Linked DNA regions of Macaca mulatta. The protein of the gene in region 2 purifies or fractionates together with the protein of the main gene of each other region. This does not show direct contact. Links are inferred from orthologs where the notes say so. Each region holds a gene or a part of one and is shown on either strand. Other genes may lie near its edges.

Region 1 (4,217 bases), on a different chromosome or scaffold from region 2:
AGCAAAACCCTCTCGTTAATACATTGCTTCACATATACGGCTAAGGAATCAGTCCCCTGATAAGGGTATTAGTACTGGGACAAAACCTAAAATCTTAAAAATAAAGTTATTTTGAAAACATACAAATAAGAATAAAACATATAAATAAGCATAATGAGTCCACTTTATTCTCACACATTTGTTGACAGGAGTAAAATCAGTACAACTTTTCCTGAGAGCAATTTAGCAATATTTATCAAAATTCAAAATGGGTAAGTCTTGACCTAGGAATCCAACTTCTGTGAATTCTTACTATACTTACACTGTAGCACTGTTTATAACAACCAAAGACTAGAAACCAAAACTTCTATCATTAAGATATTAAGTAAATAATCGTACATTTATATGATGGAATTATTATATGGCTGTAAAAAAAAGAACCAGAGTTATCATGAATTCCTCTAGAAATATCTCTAAACTATGTATTTTCATTTCCAATTTTGATTATGAAAATCTTCTGAACAACAACAAAGTTGAAAGAATTTTACAGTGGACTTCCAATCTCTACCAGTTAGAGTCTACCTTTAGCATTTTACTATATTTATCACATATCTATTTATCTTCTAGAATACATATACTTTTAAGTGAAAAAAAGCAAGGTGTATAACAGTACATATAATATGCTATCTTGGGAGGCCGAGGCGGGTGGATCACGAGGTCAGGAGTTCAAGACCAGCCTGGCCAAGATGGTGAAACCCCGTCTCTACTAAAAATACAAAAAATTAGCTGGGTGTGGTGGCACACGCCTGTAATCCCAGCTACTCGGGAGGCTGAGGCAGAGAATAGGTTAAACCTGGGAGGCAGAGGTTGCAGTAAGCTGAGATCGTGCCACTGCACTCCAGCCTGGGCGACAGAGCAAGACTCCATCTCAAAAAAAACAAACAAACAAAAAACAAACACATATAGAGAGAGAAAAAGGAAAGAAAAATACAAATATTTGTATTTGCTCATGTCTGTAATTACTAAACTAGAAGGATATACAATAAAGGGAGCTATAAATGTGGTTGCATGTGTGCATGGAAGTGTGTATGTGTTTTGATAAATGGCTAGATACAAGACAACAAAGGCAAGGAGGGTTGTCACTGTTTACATTTTCATTTATTTTAATCTTCAAGCCATGTAAAAGATTAAACAAAAGATAAAAGTAACAATAGAAAAAATATTTCTGATTAGTTACAATTTCATAGCTACAAAAACTTCTGTTTTTATTTAAAATTTTTAGATGATTTTGTTTTAAATTGGCACCTAGTACTATAGAGAGACTAGTTAACTGCATGCATGTGTTTTAGAATGGCCAAAAACATCATACCAAATAAATCTTGATTAAATACTCAAATAATTAATGGGGATTTTGAGAATCAAAGTAAAACACATATAGAAGCACTAAAAAAGTGATTCTTCTTCACTAGGCTTAACCCTTTATGCTTATTTTTCATAGAAAATTGAAAATAAATACTATGTTTAAAAGCCAAAATTATGATAACCAAATAGTAAAGCTTTCCTAGTAATAAAACTGAAATGTAATACGTCACTCGGTGCTATTATGGTGACCAATTTATTTGTGGACTTACTATTTTAAACCGAAATCATAATTGGAGAATTTTAACTTCACAAATCAATATTGTTATTCTGTTTACGCTTTCTTCCACAGTATGTGTCCCACTGAAGAAAAAGTTCAGTTGATCCCCCTGAAGTTCATGAATTACTGAAGCAGTAAGAGCAATGAAAGTTCAGAAGATACTAATTTCTTAAAATAAGAATATTAATTCATAGTACCTTTCTCTCTTTCTTTAACGTACTCCGGTATAATTTAGGTCTCTTCACAACACCAGCATTTCATGCTTCTAATAACATTAGTTGTTGCTGCTTTGCTGCTTCTACCTTTGGCTTAAATCCTTACTTTTTTTTTTCTTTTCTGAGACAGAGTCTCACTCTGTCACCCAGGCTGGAGTGCAGCGGTGCAATCTTGGCTCACTGCAACCTCCCTCCTCCGGGGTTCAAGCGATTCCCCTGCCTCAGTCTCCCGAGTGGCTGGAATTACAGGCGCCTGCCACTACGCCCAGCTAATTTTCTTATTTTTATTAGAGATGGAGTTTTACCATGATGGCCAAGCTGGTCTCAAATTCCTGACCTCAGGTGATCTGTCTGCCTCGGCCTCCCAAAGTGCTGGGATTACAGGTGTGAGGCACTGTGCCTGGCCTAAATCCTTAAATTTTGAAATATAGAAAGTGGCAGGAAATTGAGCCAAAAAGGATACAAGTTTCTTCATACACCTGAATAGTAGCCATGTCACCCTCCAATCGAATAATCTCTCCAACCAACTCGCTGTGGCCCACTCTCACCAGCTCATACATGGCTGCACCCGCCATGTCACAGGCTGTAACCACTGAAGAGAACAAAAGACTATTTTGATGACTTAAAACTCTAGTGTTCTGTGAATAGTCACAAATTATTAAAACACCCAATAAACCCAGTATCGTGCCTCTCTCATATATTCATAAGAAGAATAAAAACCTACTATTGAACATACTGGTAGTTTCACATAGATACATTTTTAGTGTATAATATAAACAGATAAGCCAAAGATTATTTATTTACATAATATACATGAAAACTTTTCAAACATTTCAAGTTCTGCACGGCAAACTTACCTGGTAGGATTCAAGTATGTTCTGAGAGTTGCTATGATATATGGAGTGAAGGCTTTGGAACAATAAAAAAACTTTTAAAAGTAGAAATTGGAATAAATGGTTTGGCTAGTAGTATGGTGGAATGCCACACAATTATCACTTTGCTATGCTGTTACCATTTCCTTTGAGAGACAGACCTAAAGGAACATCTTTACTTTCTAACAACTTACAGCAGTGGTTCTTAAAACTATTCTGGGACATGGACCCTTTTGAAAAACTAATAATAGCTCTACTAGAAAAACTCACACGCACATCTACAAAATTTTTTTCATAGGCCATAAGGATATTTACAATCAGTCACCACCACTGGGTAAGAAATTATCAATGGAATTCCATTTACTGAACTTACTATTTTGGACCATGTTGTCTAGTAAGCAAAACTTACTTTTCTAGCAGGGAGGAAAGGAAAGGTTGCCATATTTTTAGACACGTGTAAGAATAAACCAATTTTTAATATTTAGCCTTGTGATACAACTGATTAGAACTATATAACAGGTAATACTTCAGTGGAAACTATTAAAGTTTTATGAGTTAATTAACCTGTGTTAAAACAATGAAGACTTATTCATTCTGTAAATATTTCCCTCTATACTGATTACTTAAGAATTAAGATGCACTGAAATACCAGAGATAGTGAAATTTAAAAATCATATTTCATAAGCCAAAAAAGGATGCCATTGTTCCATTGCCTTATTAAGTACTTAAGAATTAAAAATTGCAGGAGGCAAGGGGAGGGAGAGCATTAGGACAAATACCTAATGCATGTGGGGCTTAAAACCTATATAACAGATTGATAGGTGCAGCAAGCCACCATGGCACATGTATACCTATGTAACAAACCTACACTTTCTGCACATGTATCCCAGAACTTAAAAGTAAAATCTAAAAAAATTTTTTTTTAAAAATTGTTTCCAGGAGCAGTTTACTACACAGTTTCACAGAGTATTTTTTCCTGAACTCTTTGATGTTCTTTTGCTTTTTCTCTAAAAGTTCTTGGGTTTAGCCTGTCCTTCCTAAAGACCCTTATGATCATTGAGAGGACAATTATTTCTCTGCATGGCAAAAGATACTGATAACCTTTTAATGACTTGCCAATGAAATCAAGCTCAAACACCAAGTTCTTGGGGGAGAAAAAAGGGGACAGTGACTGACAGTTTTCATTTGCATAAACATCAAAAAACTGTCATCACCACTACTGTAACTGGAACAAGAAAAAGACTATATAGCATGAGGTTTGAAGGATAATACATCACTAAGCAGGCTTTACTTAGAGAAACTGTGACTGTGAATCACATTTTGTAGAGGGAGTATTCAATAACAAAACAAATACTGGCGCAAGATTTATTATTTAAAAAGCAGCACTCCACGTTTTGGCAGAATGGACACAAAGTTTGGGTACTAAAACTTCTTTCCCACAGGTAGTTAATAAGACACTTAACCATTCAAAAAGTTTCATAAATGCAAAAGGCAAAAGCTAATATTACTGAG
Region 2 (4,217 bases):
CCTAGGTTCAAGAGATTCTCCCACCTCAGCCTCCCAAGTAGCTGGGACCACAGGTGCACAACACCATGCCCAGATCATTTTTATATTTTTTGTAGAGACAGGATTTTGCCATGTTGCCCAGGCTGGTCTTGAACTCCTGGGCACAAGGAATCTACCTGCTTCAGCCTCCCAAAGTGCTGAGATTACAGGCGTGAAGACCATACCCGACCATCTAGTTCTTTACAACCTTAAACTTGATTACAGATGGCTGTTAAAATAACTTTGAGAAAGAATTATTAGTAAACTAATGATAGTTATTTTTAGTAGGAATTGTTTTATTTATAAAGAGCTTAGTCTAAAGAGGATGTTTTAATGACCATCTTGCTATGTTGCTGTGAAAGATAAAAGTGATGCTGTATATAAGGGCAAAAAATGATGTGGGGGAAGAAAATTTCCGTAGCTACATGAAGAAAAGAATTATTTTGTGATCTGTTATTTGAAAGGTACCTATGTTTTGTTTACTTGCTTTTTTCCACAAAAGGTGTGAGATAACTTACTATTAGACTTTGTTTCAAATCTGTAGAATTTTAAGAAAATGAAGAGGGTAGAAATCAGCATTCTTAATTAGGAGATTGCAGCGACTGCCACAAATAAAATGTTTACTTTCCCTGTGAATTTTCCTTGTCAGTGTCATCCCAGAACCCCTTAACTCTGCTTATTAGATGTTATTGGGGAGGTGGGTTCCTGAGTTGATAATTAAGCACCGTTTTGTGCTTTTCAATGTTTAGGACCTTTCTTGGCCAGGACTCGCAGTGGGTAACCTGTTTCATCGTCCTCGGGCTACTGTCATGGTGATGGTGAAGGGAGTGGACAAACTGGCTCTACCCCCAGGCAGTGTCATTTCATACCCTTTGGAGAATGTGAGTATTTATTATAAAAAATTAAAGGGATGTGTTTTACATTTTCCCTTGTCAGCTGCCATTATGAATTGCATTCTAAACATACTTATCTTATCTGTTTCTGATGCACGGTTTCTTTTGAAATTCTTTTACAAACACAATTTCTTTTTAAGAAAATTACATGATGATTGTAATTGATTGAGGCTTGGCTGTTCTCTGTGGATGAGAGTACTGTTTAAGATAAGAGATAGAGAAATTGCCCCACTCAGAATAGCCAGAGGCTCGAAAAAGAGAGCCACCAAAGGAGAAACCAGGTGGGGGTGTATCCTGCTGCCATTTTCTTGGCCATTGTCTTGTCATCTTCCCTGCAGGATTTTACCTCTTTTTGTGTGTAAGGACACTGGAGGCTGCTTGCTGGCTCACTTACTCCTTCACTGGCCATTCAGGCAATGTGGGTGACTGTGCTGATCTGAGAGGCCCTCCTTCCATTATAAGCATAGAGAAGTGCTTGAAAGAATGTCACAAAAACATTTTTACTAGCATAAGTAAATTTGAATGCAAGAGGGGGCGATATACACAGGTGTTACATATGGATGGAAAACTCAGAAGCCATAGTGGTGAGCAGGAGCTGATGCTGAAACTGTGTTTCCTGCAGAAATCCAGGGACTAGAAAATGCTGTCAACTTGTTCTTGAAAAGAGGACTGGTAAAACTAGTAAAGCTGGCTTGCTGCCCTTGGCTGTTGGACCCAAAGAGTCCCCTGAGAGAAATTAGAATTAGAATTATAGGCTTATGCTGTGTAGAGTGGTTCTTTCCAAATTCACATGACCTGCCCCATAGGGACACCTCCACAGCCAAGGGCTCCTTTGGTCAAATATGGAAGATGAGTGGAATTTACAAAGCACCTGAAGGAAAAAAAATGCCACGAGAAACTAGGTGCAACAAACAGAATTCATCTCCTTAGAACTACAGAGAATAGGCCAATTTCCAAGAGACCTAAAAATACATACGTTAAAATTGTGAAAAAAAAAAAAGGGCCAGACATGGTGGCTCACACCTGTAATCCCAGCACTTTGGGAGGCCAAGATGGGAGGATTGCTTGAGGCCAGGAGTTCGAGACCAGCTTGGTCAACATAGCAAGACCCTATCTCTGGGGAGGGGAGAAGAAGAAAGAAAGAGAAAAAATTTGTGAAAAAAAGGAAGGAACAGAAACTATGAGGGAGTTATAAGATATTTTTGATATATGGTGCTTTAGTTGATACTTCAAAATATTTCATAATTTGTATTGTGATTCTTTAACCCATGAGTTATGTAGAAGTATTTTTTCCAAATGCATGAGTTTTAAAAACATAATTTCTAATTTTTAAATTTCTAAGTTCACTGCATTGTAATACTGTGGTCTATGTGATGCTGAAGTTTTGGGAATTTTTTTTTTTTCAGACTTTCCTGTGGTCTAGTATAGATTATTTCCAAGCACACATGGCATACTTAGAAAAAATTACTATGCACTAATCCACAAGGCAAATCTCAACAAACAATAAAGAATCAGTATCATATAAACTACCTTCTCTGACCACAATGCAGTTAAATCTGAAAATAATAATAAAACAATATCTTAAAAGGGTATTTGGAGCCCGACACCATGCCTCATGCCTGTAATCCCAACACTTTGAGAGGCCGAGGCGGGTGAATCACTTGAGGCCAGGAATCCGAGACCAACCTGGCCAACATGGCTAAACCCTGTCTCTACTGAAAATACAAAAATTAGCCAGGCGTGGTGGCACACGTCTGTAGTCCCAGCTACTTGGTGGCTGAGGCACGAGAATTACTTGAACCCAGGAGGTGGAGGTTGCAGTGAGCTGGGATTGCGCCACTGCACTCCAGCCTGGGTGACAGAGCGAGACTCTACCTGAAAAAAAAAAAAAGAAAAAGCTATTTGGATCAACATTTCTCCTTTCCCCATCCACCTGTCTTCCCCAGCCTCTTCTAACCATCATTCTGCTCTCTACTTCTATGAGTTCAACTTACAAGTGAGGTCATGTAGTATTTGTCCTTCTATGCCTGGCTTATTTCACTTAACATAATGTCCTCCAGGTTTATCCATGTTGCAAATGACAGTTTACCCCACTTTAAAGGCTGTATAGTATTCCATTATGTTTATATACCACATTTTCTTCTGCCGAGACCAGCTGGGTTGGGGAGACCAGCGGTGCTAGAGGAATTAAAGACACACACACAGAAATATAGACGTGTGAAGTGGGTAATCAGGGGTCTCACAGCCTTCAGAGCTGAGAGCCCCGAACAGAGATTTACCCACATATTTATTAACAGCAAAGCAGTCATTAGTGTTGTTTCTATAGATATTAAATTAACTAAAAGTGTCCCTTATGGAAAATGAAGGATGGTCCGAATTAAAGGAATAGGTTGGGCTAGTTAACTGCAGCAGGAACATGCCTTTAAGACACAGATCGCTCATGCTATTGTTTGTGGTTTAAGAATGGCTTTAAGCGGTTTTCCGCCCTGGGCGGGCCAGGTGTTCCTTGCCCTCATTCCTGTAAACCGACAACCTTCCAGCTTGGGCGTTAGGGCCATTATGAACATGTCACAGTACTGCAGAGATTTTGTTTATAGCCAGTTTTGGGGCCAGTTTATGGCCAGATTTTGGGGGGCTTGTTCCCAACACACATTTTCTTCTTTCTGCTTTTTTCTTTTTTTTGAGACAGAATCTTGCTCTGTCACTCAGGCTGGAGTGCAGTGGTGCGATATCATCTCACTGCAACTTCTGCCTCCTGAGTTCAAGGGATTCTGGTGCCTCAGCCTCCTGAGTAGCTGGGATTACAGGTGCACGCCACCACGTCCGGCTAATTTTTTGTATTTTTAGTAGAGATGAAGTTTCATCATGTTGGCCAGGCTGGTCTCAAACTCCTGAGTTCAGGTGATCCACCCACCTCAGCCTCCCAAAGTGCTGGAATTACAGGCATGAGCCACTGCATCCAGTTGCACATTTTCTTTTATCCATTCGTTTGATTATGGACACCGACGTTGCTTCCATCCATATCTTAGAAATTGTAAATAGTGCTGCAGTGAACATGGGAGTGCAGTTACCTCTTCAGCATACTGACTTCAATTGCTTTGGATATATATACCCAGAAGTGGGCTTGCTGGATCATGCTTTAGTGATCTGTTGCACAGAATGGTGACTATATTAAATAATAATGCGGTGTATATTTCAAAACTGCTAAAGGAGTAGATTTTAGATACTTTTACCACAAAAAAAGATAAGTATGTGAGGTGATGGATTTGTTCATTAGCCTGATTTAATCAGTCCACTTTGTAAACT
Region 3 (4,865 bases), on a different chromosome or scaffold from region 2:
TATGTATGAAGGTGGACCAGAGACCTTAAAGCTCTCAAGACAGCAAAACCGCTAGTCATGATGCCCACAGTGCCTCAAGAGCATGGCTTCAGCGGGTTCTGGGCCGCAGGCTGCCCACTGCAGAGCAGTGCGCTCCAGGCACGCACTCGGGCACCACTGTTCTCCACGGGGCTCAGAGGAACTCTGGCAGGGAGGATGGGCAGTGCAGTCTGCAGCACCCGCGCTATCCAGATAGTCTTTGGAGAAACTTTCTTTTTTTTTTTTTTTTTTTTTTTGAGACGGAGTCTTGCTCTTTTCCCCAGGCTGTAGTGCAGTGGCACGCTCTTGCCTCACTGCAACCTCTGCCTCCCAGGTTCAAGCAATTCCTGCCTCTGCCTCTGTCTCCTGAGTAGCTGGGATTACAGGCGCGTGCCACCACGGCCAGCTACTTTTTGTATTTTTAGTACAGACGGGGTTTCACCATGTTGGTCAGGCTGGTCTCGAACTCCTGACCTCATGATCCGCCCGCCTCGTCCTCCCAAAGTGCTGGGATTACAGGCATGAGCCACCGCTCTAGAGAGAATTTCTATAGGACAAGGTAAAGCCTTTAAAACTGGGGACGAACTTGACACACCGTACACAGCGGGCAAGCTGCAAAACCCGGGTGCTGCAACGTCAACGACAAGTAAGTACCACTGTCACACGGAAGGAACTCTCAAAACCAACAGGAGAATCCAATGGGCAAGGAAAACGGCCTGCAAGCATTTGGAAAGACGCTTGGATATCCGAACACAAGTAAGTGCGGGGGGTTTACCGCGCAGACGCCCGCGGGACCGACCACCGTACCTTCGAGCGCGTGCCTCAGCCGCTCCTTCCTCTCCTGCGCCGAGCGCTGCGCCTCCTCCCGGGCCTTGCGGTACAGGTACTCGCGGCGCAGGCGGGCCTCGCGGCGCAGCTGCGGGAACAGCGGGCCCAGTCACTACTGGCTCCCGAGCCCCGGAGCCCCGGAGCCCCCGAGGCTCCAACGCCCCAGGGCCACATCCCCAGCACTTCACGCGTCCCGCAGCTCCGAAACAGGAGCTCAAACATCCTCCTACCATCTTGAGCGCCGCTTCCACGTGGGTCCGGGAGACTCTGTGGGTTCCTCTGGCGCCTCGCAGTCCTCACTTCCGCCCTCAACCAAGATGGTCCCTTAGACGCTTCACCGGTGCCTGCAGCCGTCGGGCATGCCCTGTGTTAAGATGGCGAATAGGGCTGGGCGGGGGAGGGGGCATGGCAAGGCGATTGGCCGTTCCAGGGGGCGTTCTCCTTGGGACAACCAATAGACTGGATACAGAATGTCGCACGCGGCCTCCGACTGCAGCTAATAAAGATGTCCGCCAGCGGCTTCCCCATCCCCGCCCTTCCCCCGCCACCGCCGTGCAGAATGCACGGTTTCAAGATGATGAACCGCTAAAACAATCATAATTAGCGGCTCGAACCAGTTCATCAGCTGTAAAAATGGCACACCGACTGATCTGGAGGTTGCCTGCCGGCTCCTTTCCAAATTAAAACCACTCTTCCCTCAACCAAAATGGTTTCTGCACAGCTTCGCTTTCTTCCATCGCCACAGCAGGGGCCCGAGTTCTAAGACTGGGCAGCTTCCGGAAGGACTCAGAACCACCTTCGGCCCCGGCCGACAGTCCGGCTGGCTGATCCACGTGGGGGCTAACTGGGGAAACCAGTCGATCGGTTGCTTCTGTGCTGCTTCTCTAAGTGCGCTTGCCCTTAAAGGAGCTGACCCGGAGGCCTAGGTGCTGCCGGCGTGGGGATCCCCAGCTGGGAACGCCCCTCCATGGAAGATCTCGTGTGCCCATTGGCTGTCCTGCCAACCGCGGGCGGTGACGGGGAAGGTGGCGGGTCCGGATCTGAATGCGTGTCCATGGCGGCGCTTGACCTGCGAGCGGAGCTGGACTCGCTGCTCCTGCAGCTGCTGGGGGACCTGGAGGAACTGGAGGGGAAGCGAGCGGTGTTGAACGCCCGGGTGGAGGAGGTAGGCGCCTGGGGCGGGCAGGAGGGCACACGGGCGTAAACTGAGGCTCACCGCTGTCCTCTCCTTGCAGGGCTGGCTGTCGCTCGCCAAGGCTCGCTACGCGATGGGCACCAAGTCGGTGGGGCCCCTGCAGTATGCTTCCCACATGGAGCCCCAGGTCTGCCTCCAGGCCAGGTGAGGAAGCGTCCATGCTGGGCTGGGTGGGCGGGCGCGCTCCAGGCCCGGGGTGCCAAAGCTCCATCCTCCCTTCTTGTCCTTCAGCGAGGCCCAGGAGGGACTCCAGAAGTTCAAGGTGGTGAGATCTGGTGTCCACGCCCCAGAGGAGGTGGGGCCTCGCGAAGCAGGTGAGCCCCCTCTTCCTTCTGCAGAACCCCTTCCCAATGTCAAAGACAAAATGCAAATGATGGAGATGGTTTTAATTAGGTTTTTGCGATAAGAGAGAGCATCCCAGAGCTGAAGAACAGAATGTTTTTGTAGGGTGGTTTTGCCTTAGACTTTTATAGGGAGGAGTAGAGAAGTTGGGGAGTTGCTTTACACTGGGAATAGTTTTACAATCACTTAAGTTTCAGTCAGCTGAACAGAAAATATTCATCTGTGTGTCTAGCTAGTTTCAGAGGGACAAACTTCTAATCCCAGTTAATCATTCCTGAGACAAAGAATGGGGAGTTGGAACGTCTGTGTCTGGTCTGTCAGCATGTTCAGGTCCAATGGGTAAGGTCAGTGTCACAGGCAAACAGGGTCATCGGCAGGTCCTACAGGAGTCATGGGAAAGAGTGGACAAACAGTCTCATCTGAATCACAAGGGGAAAGGCTGTGTTTTGTGGTAAGCTGTTTCCTGGAACCCCAAAGTTGGAATTTTCCAACCAACAGTGTTTTCTAGAATCATGAGCTCAGATCAAGCTCAACATTGTCACCAAGACGATACAGGCCAGGGAGTAGGATCCCAGCCTACTCCAACCTTTCTTTCCTCAGCTCTGCGGAGGCGCAAGGGCCCCACTAAGACCCCAGAACCGCAGTCCTCTGAGGCCCCTCGGGACCCCCTGAACTGGTTTGGAATCCTGGTTCCTCACAGTCTACGTCAGGCTCAAGCCAGCTTCCGGGATGGTGAGTGGACCCTGTTGTTTGGCTGTGTGGCCCTCAGACCCTCTATCCACAGGGAACACTGGAGCACTGCTGCCATGGCTGGGGTTAGTCTGTGAAAGACTTTGCAGGTTTCTCTTCATCCAAACTTCTGTTGTTACCCACTGTGTTTTCCAAAAGCATTTACTGATAGTTGGCAGCATTCGGGTTCATGCTAGCTGCTGGGGATACAGCAGAGAACAAAAGAGAAAAACACCTTTTCATGTAATGTTTAGGAGCAGAGAAAGGCAATGTGCAGATAAGTAATAAGTCAGGATGTGAAAATTGTTACGAAAAACACATAATGGAGTGGGACAGGAGTGGGCCAAGGTAGCTATTTTACGAAGGGTGGCCAGGGGAAGTCTCTCTGAGGAGGTGAAGGAAAAGCTTTGTGGGTGATTTTGGGGAATGGTGCTCTAGATGGAGGAACCAGCCAGGACAAAAGCCCTGAAGCCATATATATCAGGTATGTGCAGAGGCTGATGGCCTGAAGTGGAGTCAGATGAAGACTGTGGGACGCACAGAGAGGCTCTGAGCAGAGGATGGTTCGACTGGCTGCACAGGGTCACAGGAATCCTTGGGTGCTGGTTGGGGACACAGAGCAGAGGGAGGAAGCGGGCGTCAGGGAGCGGCCAGTGCGAGAAGCAGATGGCGTCACTGGAGGAGGAGGTAAGTGGTGGGAACCTGCACAGGTTTTAAGAGTAGAAGCCGGCTGGGCGCGATGGCTCAAGCCTGTAATCCCAGCACTTTGGGAGGCTGAGACGGGCGGATCACGAGGTCAGGAGATCAAGACCATCCTGGCTAACATGGTGAAACCCCGTCTCTACTAAAAAAAATACAAAAAAACTAGCCAGGCGTGGTGGTGGGCGCCTGTAGTCCCAGCTACTGGGGAGGCTGAGGCAGGAGAATGGCGTAAACCCGGGAGGCGGAGCTTGCAGTGAGCTGAGATCTGGCCACTGCACTCCAGCCTGGGCGACAGAGCAAGACTCCGTCTCAAAAAAAAAAAAAAAAGAGTAGAAGCCTCAGAATTTGCTGACAGATAAGATATGGGAGTAAGGGAAGGAAAGGAGTCCAGGAAAGCCCCCGGTCTCCACTCAGAACCCCTGGAGGATGGAGTGACCCTCACCCACTGTGGGCAGCTGAGGGGATGCCGGAAGGCAGGAGTTGGTGTGGTCTGTGTGGTGTCTACTGATGTCCTGCTGGACAGTCTGAGTGGGCACTTGGGCACATACCTCTGGAGTTTGGGAAAGGCCTGGGCTGGAGAGAGATTTGGGAGTCACTGCATAGCACTGTTTAAATTCCAAAGTTTTTGACACAAACACTGGTTTCAAGCTGAAACAGGACGAGATCAGCAGAGGGCCTGGGGGGTATGGACAGGAGGTGAGGGAGAGGAGGGGAGAAGCCAGTCAAGGAAACTTAGGAGCAACACCTGGGAGCAGGTGTCCTGGAGGCCAAGAAGAGAAAGTGTTTCCTGGAGCAAGCGATCCAGTGTGTGGTCAGCCCTGCTGCTGAACAGGAGGCTGAAGACTGAGAGCTGCCCGGAGGACTGGGCAGCAGCTGTTCCAGCAGAGACATCGGCACAAGCCACCTAGAGGTGGATCCAGAGTGTGGACTACTGTTGGGGCAGAGAAAAGAAGTGGAGGTGAGGGGAGCGAGAGGCTGTAGTCATGGGGGAAGGAAGGAAATGAGAGCATGAGATGGTATTACTAGCTGTGAATTTTTACTTCCTGGTGGG
Region 4 (4,773 bases), on a different chromosome or scaffold from region 2:
CCCTCAGCGGCTTCAGGATAACTCTGTCCTCAGGATAACTTCCAGATCCTTTTTTTTTTTTTTAAACAGAGTCTCGCTCTGTCACCCAGGCTGGAGTGCAGTGGCGCCATCTCAGCTCACCACAACCTCCCTTGCCCGGGTTCAAGCAATTGTCCTGCCTCAGCCTCCCAAGTACCTGGGACTGTAGGCACACACCACCTCATTGGGCTAATGTTTTTTGTACTTTTAGTGGAGACAGGATTTCACCATGTTGGCCAGACTGGTCTCAAACTCCTGACCTCAGGTGATCCATCTGCCTCGGCCTCCCAAAGTGCTGGGATTACAGGCGTGAGTCACCGTACCTGGCCTGCAGATCCCTTTTTTTTTTTTTTTTTTTTCAGACAGGGTCTCGTTCTGCTGCTCAGGCTCAAGTGCAGTGCCCTGATCATAGCTCACTGTAACCTTGAACTCCTGAGCAAGCCCTGCTGCCTCAGCCTCTCGAGTACCTGGAACTATAAGTGTGCGCCACCACACCTGGCTAATTTTTTTTTTTTTTTTTTTGAGACAGAGTCTCGCTCTGTCGCCCAGGTTGGAGTGCAATGGCACAATCTCGGCTCACTGCAGTCTCCACTTCCCAGGTTCAAGCAATTCTCCTGCCTCAGCCTCTCGAGTAGCTGGGACTACAGGTGCCCACAACCATGCCCAACTAATTTTTTGTATTTTTAATAGAGACAGGTTTTTGCCATGTTGGCCAGGCTGGTCTCAAACTCCTGACCTCAGGTGATCCACCTGCCTTGGCCTCCCAAAGTGCTGGGATTACAGGAGTGAGCCACCGCACCTGGCCTACCTGGCTAATTTTTAAAATTTTTTGCAGAGACAGGGTCTCACTGTGTTGCCCAGGCTGGTCTCCAACTCCTGAGCTCAAGCAATCCTCCTCCATCAGGGAAGCACTCCCAAAGTGCTGGGATTATAGGCGTGGCATGAGCCACCATGCCTGGCCTTACCAATTCTTTAACTTTCCTTGAAGGCCCTACGCTCTCTAGTCAGTACGCCTTTGCATATGCTCTTCCTCTGCCTAGAACACCGTCTTGTCCTCACTTCTATCCCCTTCATCCTGCAGGTCCTTCAGGTCTCAGCTTAGATCTGAAGCAAGTTTCTTGGGGAAGGGTTCTTTGGATGCCCCCTCTCTCCATGGGTTAGTTACCATGGATGTGTGCTTCCATATACTTTTCACATTCTAACCATTAACACACAGCTCTGTAGTCGCCTATTCCCTTGACTTTCCATCTCACTAGACAGTATCATCACTAACTTCTGCATTCCTTTAATTGAACAAATGCGTATTACTTGTTAAATATGTGTCATAGGTACACACATACACGATAAAGACCCAGACCCTGCCGATGAGATCAGTAACTGCGTCTCTTCTCTGGGATCTCGGCGTTTAAACAGCGCCAGGTTCAAATCGCTTGTTGAACGAATGAACCAAGGAAAGAGTCAATGAACGAATGAATGCCCGCGAAGGAGGTGGTGCCGCGCAGCCTTCTGGGAATCGTAGTCCCCTGCTTCGGGCCTGTCTTTATGGCGCAGGCGTATTCACATGGAGGCCGTGTTGCTGTTCATGCGCATGTCCCGGAATGCGGCTCGGAGAACTGCGCATGCCCGAAGGGGGGTGGGGCCGACGGGGAGCCGTACGGCGGAGGCGGGGCTTCGGCGGCTTTTGGTGCTCTCGGGTGAGCTCTGCCCGGCAGCGGGGATGGCGGGGAGGGGGAAGCTCATCGCAGTCATCGGAGACGAGGACACGGTGACTGGTTTCCTGCTGGGCGGCATAGGGGAGCTTAACAAGAACCGCCACCCCAATTTCCTGGTGGTGGAGAAGGATACAACAATCAATGAAATCGAAGACACTTTCCGGTACGGTAGCGCGCGAGGCCTGAACGGGCCCTTCTGCTGCCTGGTGGAGTGCGGGGCGAGGGTGGAGGCGGCCCGGGGACCGAGGCGTGAGGCCCGGACGGGGGTTAGGGGATGGTCGTGAAAGTCCGCCCGCCCGCCGCTGCGCCCCAAGTTCCCGTTTGGGGCTGGGTGGCACCGACGCTGTATCAGGTCCACGAGCTCCCCACCTCACATGATCGTGTGTCAGGAAAGAAGGGGAACAGAGCTCGTGACGGGCTAGGCAGTGGGCTCGGACTTTGTTCTGCTTTCCCCTCCTTTACAGGCTCACCGTCGTCCGGTAAGGCAGGGGTGATTTTGTCCTACTTACAGGTGAGAAAACTAAAGCTTGGAGAGGTTAAGGCACACACTAAAGTTACAAGTGGGCAGAGGCAGACCTGGAATTTGAACCTAATCCTAACCCTTTCTGCCTTTGGTAAGCCAGGTACACACTCTGTACAGCTCTCCTCAGTCGGCCTCGGAATTTCCCTTTGCTCTTGAGCACAGTAGGCAGAAAATGTCAGGACTGTGAGAGCCTTCTGCTAAGACCTTGCACTCAAGCCCTCACTCCCTGCCTTAGGTCAGAGTGTGGGCGCAGACATGCCTTTAATCCACCAGGGGTCCTGGTGACCTGAATTGAGGATAACAGCCTCCTATTCTATCCCTCACCCCTTCTTCAGGTTCGCTGTACTAAGTCTCAGGAATAAACCACTCACCTGTTTCCCCCCAAACAGTCCAGCCCAGGGCTGCCGGCTGAGACTGGTTCCTGCTGCCTGGTGTATTAGGTAGTTCCTGACCTGGTAGGCTGTTACCTGCCGATCTCTAAGCTGTCTGGTAAAGTGACCCAAGTTACCATGGGAGAAGGACAAATTTTACTTCAAGAATTTTTTATGTTTCCAATCAAAAGGGACCTCAGAGATCAAATCTAACCCAGTGACTGGTGGGGGGTGGGTGCTCAGTAAATAATTTTTAACCAGTAAATAAATGAATGAGTCTGGGCGCGGTGGCTCACGCCTGTGATCCCAACACTTCTGGAGGCCGAGGCGGGTGGATCACCTGAGTTCCACCCGCCAGGCTGGTTGGAGTTCGAAACCAGCCTGACCAATATGGTGAAACCCCATTTCTACTAAAAATACAAAAATTAGCCAGGCGTCGTGGAGGGTGCCTGTAATCCCAGCAAATCAGGAGGCTGAAGAAGGAGAACTGCTTGAACCTGGGAGGCGGAAGTTGCAGTGAGCCGAGATCCGCCGCTGCACTCCAGCCTGGGTGACAGAGGGAGACCCTGTCTCAAAAAAATAAAATAAACGAATGAATGGGTGGGTGATCATAGGAGAGGAGGATCACGAGGCCAGGTTCTTTTTGGGCAGAAAGTATGATTCCTTCATCAGAGTGTCCTCTTCCTAGCTTGTGATCTTGGTTCATGCCAGACTTTCCCTCTGACCCCTCCACCACCCTCATCAGCATAGACCTTGAGGCCTTCAGTGGTCTCATCAGCCCTATTTTTAAATTAATTTGTTTTCTTTCTAAAAGTTAATGTGTCCTTTTTTTTTTTTTTTTTCTGAGACAGGGTCTCACTCCTGTCACCCAGGCTGGAGTGCAGTGGCGTGATCACAGCTCACTGTGGCCTCGACTTCCCAGGCTCAAGTGATTCTCCCACCTCAGCCTCCCAAGTAGCTGGGACTACAGTTTCCCAAGCAGCTGGTACATGCTGCCACATCGAGCCAATTTTTTGTATATATGTACACATTTTTTTTTCTTTTTTTTTGTAGAGATGGGAGTCTCACTATGTGGCCCATTCTGGTCTCAAACTGCAGGGTTCAAGCGATCCACCCGCCTCGGCTTCCCAAAGTGCTGGGATTACAGGCATGAGCCATTGCACCCGGCCTTCAGTATCTGCACATAAAAAAGGATCTGTATACATATAATCTTATCCTTCCCCTTTCTGACACCATCACTGCATATTGACATAGGGTTGACACCATCACTGCAGTGTGCACCCTAATTTTCATTACCAGTTCACTTGGAAGCGTTTCAGGCAGCGTTGCAGAAGCCAACCCTAGTCAGCATGACCCTCCGCTTTGGGATGAAATTGATTCTTGGTAGAGTTGACATAGGGTTGAGCGTGGCCGCCTTTCTCCTTGTCCTCTGTGCCCTCTGGGTCACACTCATTCTCCTCCACTGCCCAGCCCAACAACTTGGAGGCAGGAGAGAAGGCAGCCCCCAGAGCTGCCCTAGACTCCCGTCTCATCTCTCCCCACAGGCAGTTTCTAAACCGGGATGACATTGGCATCATCCTCATCAACCAGTACATCGCAGAGATGGTGCGGCATGCCCTGGACGCCCACCAGCACTCCATCCCCGCTGTCCTGGAGATCCCCTCCAAGGAGCACCCATATGACGCCGCCAAGGACTCCATTCTGCGCAGGGCCAGGGGCATGTTCACTGCTGAAGACCTGCGCTAGGGGACTCCTCACAGCCCTCAGCCCTTCCCTCGTTTCCAGGCCTCTCCCCAGGCTTGCCATCAGCCTTCTTTACTTTTTGAGCCTCTGATTTCCAATTCCCTGCCCATTCCCACTCCATTAAGAGGCTAGGTGAGGCACTTCTAGGTTGCTGGGGCTCTGCTGTTAAAGCTGGTTAAGGAACAGGAAGCCTGACCATCTCCCTCCACTACCTGTTCCCTGTGCTGTTACACAGTGTCATTGTTGATGTTAAATTAAAGTCATATTCTTGCTTCTCTCCAAACGGGCTGGGTGCTGGAAAGTACATGTGTGGGGTGAGGCCATGGGGCAGATTCAATTGGCAAGGATGGAAAAAGGTGCTGCCAAAGACAGGCATAGAAGAGCTGGCCCAAGAGGATCGTGCTGG
Region 5 (4,894 bases), about 120 Mb from region 2:
CAGAGTCTGGGTGCCTGGCCCATAGCAGGTGCTTCAGGAAGCCTCAAGGGCCATCGCTCCAGGGACCCCTGGCAACGGAGGGAAGAATAAAAGCAGTCACAGGTGGGTTTCTCCCCTAAGGATGGAAGCAGCTCAGCAACAGAGTCCTGGTAGAGGCAAGATTGCATTCCACATTCCAGAGGAAGTCTTTGCCTTGAAACTATGTACCAAAAGTAACAGAAACATAATAGACATGCTTTCCTTTTTAAGTTTGCTGGATTCTCCTGGGATACAGTGAAGCTCCAGCAAAAACCTCTCTCCTCAGCTAGTTCAGGCCTGGAAATGGCCACTTGAGGGTTTCCCTAAGCACCCGAAACTCAGTGAGCCCCCAAGTGACCTCATCTCCCAGTCCCCAACTCAGAGAGACCCAAAAGCTACAATTTTCTTTGACTGTATCGTCAGACCCACTTCCTCTATCCAGCTCAACTGCCACTATTCTCGTCCTAGTCTGAATCACATGTGACAATCATGACTACAATTTTTTTTTTTTTTTTTTTTTTTGAGATGGACTCTTGCCAGGCTAGAGTGCAGTGGTGTGATCTTGGCTCACTGCAACCTCCGCCTCCCGGGTTCAAGTGATTCTCCTGCCTCAGCCTCCCGTGTAGCTGGGACTACAGGAGTGCGCCAGCATGCCCAGCTAATTTTTGTATTTTTAGTATTGACGGAGTTTCAACATGTTGGCCAGGATGATCTTGATCTCTTGATCAAGATTCGCCCGCCTCCGGCTTCCAAAGTGCTGGGATTTCAGGTGTGAGCCACCGCGCCCGGCCCGTTAGGGTGTCTTTGAAGCCACGCTTCGCTCTGGGTTTCCCCCTTTCCTCTTCGGTTGCTCCTTGTCCGATCTCTTTTCTGGACCCTTCTCCCACCCAAAGTAAGTGCTGGGTGTTCCCGCAGATGCTATCCTGGGCTCGCTTCTGTCCTCATTCTAAGGGATTACAGTCTCCTGTCACCTGTATCAGGGAGGGTCCATCTACAGGAAAAAGACACCACTTTTGCAATTTTAAGGAAAAGGATTAAAACAAGGATTGGCCGGGTGCGGCGATGCGCGCCTGTAGTTCCACTTTTCCGGAGGCTGAGGTGCGAGGATCGCTTGAGCTGGGGGGTGGGGGTAGGCGAGACCAGCCTGGGCAATATAGGGAGACTCTGTCTCTTAAAAAAAAAAAAAAAAGGAAAGAAAAAAGAAAAAAAGAAAGAAAGAAAAGAAGAGAGCAACAACAACAATAAATAAATAAATAAATAAATAAATAAAAACGGACGGGCGAACGCGTAGGGTGCGCGCAGGGTTTCGCGGAGCCTCCCTGTCCCTCTTGTCTCGTCCTAGTAGGTCTAGGTGGGCCCCATCCCCTTTCCCACTCGGAGTGTGAGTGCCTGGAGACACGTACAGCCAATCAGTGAGAAGGAGTGGCCGCGAGTGGCATGCACTTGGTCCAATTACCTGCGGCCCTGCCAGCCGGCCCGCGCTTGGGCCAATGGAGGTGCGAGGCGGGGCTCAGGCGGGGGCAACGGTCACCTGATCCGCGGCTGTCGAGGCCGCTGAAGCAGTGGAGGCTGAGGCTATGATGGCGGCCACGGCGACGGCTCGAGTGCGGATGAGGCCGCGGTGCGCCCAGGCGCTCTGGCGGATGCCGTGGCTGCCGGTGTTTTTGTCGTTGGCGGCGGCGGCGGCGGCGGCGGCAGCGGCGGAGCAGCAGGTCCCGCTGGTGCTGTGGTCCAGTGACCGGTGAGCGGGCCGGGGTGGGATGCGTTGTGGCGGCTGAGGCGCCCTCGCCCGACTCCGACTCCCGCGCTGTCCTACGCGAGGGGTGGTGAGGCCCAGAGGTGGACTATTCTTTGCTCGGGGGTCGCAGCGAATCTGCCGGCAACAGAGCTCCAGTCCACATGCGCCCCCGTCTGACAGCACCTCTTCTGTCCCCTGCCAGGGACTTGTGGGCTCCTGCCGACACTCATGAAGGCCACATCACCAGCGACTTGCAACTCTCTGCCTACTTAGATCCCGCCCTGGAGCTGGGTCCCCGGAATGTGCTGCTGTTCCTGCAGGACAAGGTGCGCCTGCCCCAGCCCACTCTCCCCCGGTCATCGGGAGGCAGCCAGGAACCCCTCCCCCCATGACACTGACGCCCATTCCCCAAGGGAAGCTTCAGTGACCTTGTCCCAACCGTAGGGAGGTGTGGGTCGTCTCATGGGAAGGCCTGTAGTAAACGCTTCAGTGGGCATGGCGACAGCCTCGGAAATGGCACCAACTTGATTGGAGGAAGCGACGGGTCAGAGGCCAGGTACCTACTGATTACCAAGCACTTTGGATATCTGACTTACTCCAATATGGTGGGTGGGGATTATTGTCCCTGTTCGTTTATAAATGAGAAGACTGAGGCTGGAGGTTAAGTGACTTGCCCAAGCTCATACAGCTAATGGGTGGCACAGTTGTAATTCTAGCTGTGATGATCATAATAATGATAATTGGAAAATGATCACCTGTTTAGTGCTTTGTAGGCACTTGCTATACTGATGTCATTATCTCGGTTTTACTGCCAAGGAAAGTAAGGTTTGTCGAGATACAATGTTTCACTACAGTTGATAGACACCACTTTGGTTCCAGCCTGAGTCTGTCAATCCTCCCTCCCAATTGGAGCTCATAACCTGCATGCTGTTTTCCCTCCCATCCAGGATCTTTGCCCCCAAGCAGGCGTGCAGACCATGAGATGATTCTAAGATAGCAAGCGTCTGCTAGGCCCTCCCTTGTTGGTGGCCTGTATGGCTCATTGCCCTTGTAGTCTCCCTTGGTTGCTGTGTGGGCAGATGGTGACCTGAAGTCTTTTCAGGAGGTGGTAAATAATATAGTCAGATAGGAACTGAGTCCTAGTTCCACCATGTAACCAGCCATTGGAGGCATGAAATAATCTTTGTCAATGACAGTTTCTACATCTGTAAAATGAAGACACCACCTACATCAGAGGGCTGTGAGGGGGAATTCTTTTTTTTTGTTTTTTTTGTTTTTTTTGTTTTTTTTGAGGCAGAGTCTCGCTCTGTTGCCCAGGCTGGAATGCAGTGGTGCAATGTAAGCTCAATGCAACCTCCACCTCCTGGGTTCAAGCAATTCTCTGCCTCAGCCTCCTGAGTAACTAGGATTACAGGGCACCTGCCACTGCGCCCAGCTAATTTTTGTATTTTTTTTTTGTATTTTGAGTAGAGACAGGGTTTCACCATGTTGGCCAGGCTGGTCTTGAACTCCTGACCTCGTGATCAACCCACCTCGGCCTCCCAAACTGCTGGGATTACAGGCATGAGCCACCGCGCCCGGCCTGTGAGGGGGAATTCTTATAATCCACATAAAACATCTAGCCAGGATCCCCCAGTCTTTCGGCATTCACCCATTCATTCATTTGTCCAATATGGAAAGCCTACTATGTGCCAGGTATTATGAAGTGTTGGGGATACGGCAGTGAGCAGAAGAACCCAATCCCCCACCATCAGGAAGCTGACATTCTCATGAGGGTGACCAGTAAATACTAAGTTGGTATATTATATGATGTCAGTGTTATAGTCTTTAGGGAAGGAAACAGGCTAAGGGGACAGAGTGACTGGGATGCTGTTTTAGATAAGGGTGGTCAGACCGGGCCTCACTGAGGAGGTGAGGAGGTGAGGAGGTGATATCTGAGCAGAGATCTTAATGGAGGGAGGGAGCCGTTGGGGGAAGGACATTCCTGGAACAGCAAATGCAAGGGCCCTGGGCGAGGTGTGCTCTTGGCAAGCTCAAGGAAGACCTGGTGTGACTGGAGCACAGTGAGTGAGAGAAAGGGGTAGGAGATGTAGGAGATGGTTCTCAGGTGGCCAGGCAATGAAGTAGGACCTTGTAGGCCATGAGGGGGAAGGTCAGGTGCAGTTCTAAATGTGTAAGAAAGCCTTGGGTAATGTGGAGCAGGGAGTGGTGTGATTTCTCAATTAAAGAAAGCCCACAGGAACCACCAGCAACTCCTGGGCTTTCCGACTGGGAGCCTGGGCGGCCAAACAGCAGCAAGGTCCTGCCCACAAGGGAGGGGAGACTGGGCGAGTGTATATACCAAACAGGTTAGGGAAGCTGATTAAAATCTCCTCAGGGCCTAACTGGGAAAGGCCAGAGGAAGCTGGAGATTGGAGTAGGGGGTAGGAGCGAAAGGACAAAGGACATCTGTAAGTTGTATAGAAAAAGGGATGGGGTCAGGGCCACTGTGGTCCTAAGAGCTCAAAAGACTTCAGTGCTTCCTCCGCATGTTCTGAGATCTCACCTCTCTCCCCTTCCACCAAAAGCAAGTGGGGTGACGGTCCTGTCCAGACTGGACATAGCCAACTCCCATTTTCTCTGGCTGGGAGGCCTGCTGCAAATGCTCTTGGCTGCCCCACCCCCTCCCCACAGCTTCCCTGTTCCCTCCCCAGTTCCTCTTGTCTGTAGGGCGGGTAAGGCAGCTGACTCCTACTCCTGAGGTTACCACAAATCAGCTGCCTACAGATCTCCCCACCCCCATGACTGCCTTCTATGTCTTCTCACCCTGCCTTGACAGTGCTGGAGGGAAGAGACGAGTCTCCCACCCACCACCACCAACACACAGTCGCGCTCCACTATACCGAACCTGACTCTCAGTGAGACTTTGCTGGCCCTGAGAATGCACGGGGAAGGTGGCTGTCCCCTGCCTTGGCCCCCATTCCTTGTCAAACCTCCTCAGATGTCTCCCCTGTTTCCCTATTAGCTGAGCATTGAGGATTTCACAGCATATGGTGGTGTGTTTGGAAACAAGCAGGACAGCGCCTTTTCTAATCTAGAGGTAAGAGTCCTCTCCCAGCCAGGGGCCATGGGGGACATTCTGTGCTTCTCCCAGCATAA

Evidence for each region.
Region 1: the proteins of ATP6AP2 (region 2) and ATP6V1A purify together in Homo sapiens (co-immunoprecipitation; 3 studies listed by BioGRID and IntAct, with this or other methods). This does not show direct contact. The link is inferred for Macaca mulatta from reciprocal best matches to the Homo sapiens genes ATP6AP2 and ATP6V1A.
Region 3: the proteins of ATP6AP2 (region 2) and CCDC115 purify together in Homo sapiens (affinity purification with mass spectrometry; 3 studies listed by BioGRID and IntAct, counting the BioPlex papers as one, with this or other methods). This does not show direct contact. The link is inferred for Macaca mulatta from reciprocal best matches to the Homo sapiens genes ATP6AP2 and VMA22.
Region 4: the proteins of ATP6AP2 (region 2) and ATP6V1F purify together in Homo sapiens (affinity purification with mass spectrometry; 3 studies listed by BioGRID and IntAct, counting the BioPlex papers as one, with this or other methods). This does not show direct contact. The link is inferred for Macaca mulatta from reciprocal best matches to the Homo sapiens genes ATP6AP2 and ATP6V1F.
Region 5: the proteins of ATP6AP2 (region 2) and ATP6AP1 purify together in Homo sapiens (affinity purification with mass spectrometry; 5 studies listed by BioGRID and IntAct, counting the BioPlex papers as one, with this or other methods). This does not show direct contact. The link is inferred for Macaca mulatta from reciprocal best matches to the Homo sapiens genes ATP6AP2 and ATP6AP1.

What each region holds. Positions count from the first base shown.
Region 1 is NC_133407.1:169,945,319-169,949,535, forward strand, and holds part of ATP6V1A (V-type proton ATPase catalytic subunit A), read right to left. Parts: intron 2,426-4,217; coding exon 2,297-2,425; intron 1-2,296. UniProt on the Homo sapiens protein: Catalytic subunit of the V1 complex of vacuolar(H+)-ATPase (V-ATPase), a multisubunit enzyme composed of a peripheral complex (V1) that hydrolyzes ATP and a membrane integral complex (V0) that translocates protons.
Region 2 is NC_133426.1:40,468,219-40,472,435, forward strand, and holds part of ATP6AP2 (renin receptor precursor), read left to right. Parts: intron 1-767; coding exon 768-899; intron 900-4,217. UniProt on the Homo sapiens protein: Multifunctional protein which functions as a renin, prorenin cellular receptor and is involved in the assembly of the lysosomal proton-transporting V-type ATPase (V-ATPase) and the acidification of the endo-lysosomal system.
Region 3 is NC_133417.1:6,445,205-6,450,069, reverse strand, and holds the start of CCDC115 (vacuolar ATPase assembly protein VMA22), read left to right. Parts: upstream 1-1,888; 5' UTR 1,889-1,900; coding exon 1,901-2,011; intron 2,012-2,081; coding exon 2,082-2,185; intron 2,186-2,272; coding exon 2,273-2,355; intron 2,356-2,983; coding exon 2,984-3,115; intron 3,116-4,865. Other genes in the region: U3 small nucleolar ribonucleoprotein protein IMP4, read right to left, coding at 826-934, 1,077-1,079. UniProt on the Homo sapiens protein: Accessory component of the proton-transporting vacuolar (V)-ATPase protein pump involved in intracellular iron homeostasis.
Region 4 is NC_133408.1:168,496,583-168,501,355, forward strand, and holds ATP6V1F (V-type proton ATPase subunit F), read left to right. Parts: upstream 1-1,702; 5' UTR 1,703-1,735; coding exon 1,736-1,893; intron 1,894-3,923; coding exon 3,924-4,007; intron 4,008-4,168; coding exon 4,169-4,370; 3' UTR 4,371-4,650; downstream 4,651-4,773. UniProt on the Homo sapiens protein: Subunit of the V1 complex of vacuolar(H+)-ATPase (V-ATPase), a multisubunit enzyme composed of a peripheral complex (V1) that hydrolyzes ATP and a membrane integral complex (V0) that translocates protons.
Region 5 is NC_133426.1:160,610,605-160,615,498, forward strand, and holds the start of ATP6AP1 (V-type proton ATPase subunit S1), read left to right. Parts: upstream 1-1,558; 5' UTR 1,559-1,595; coding exon 1,596-1,759; intron 1,760-1,958; coding exon 1,959-2,082; intron 2,083-4,760; coding exon 4,761-4,835; intron 4,836-4,894. UniProt on the Homo sapiens protein: Accessory subunit of the proton-transporting vacuolar (V)-ATPase protein pump, which is required for luminal acidification of secretory vesicles.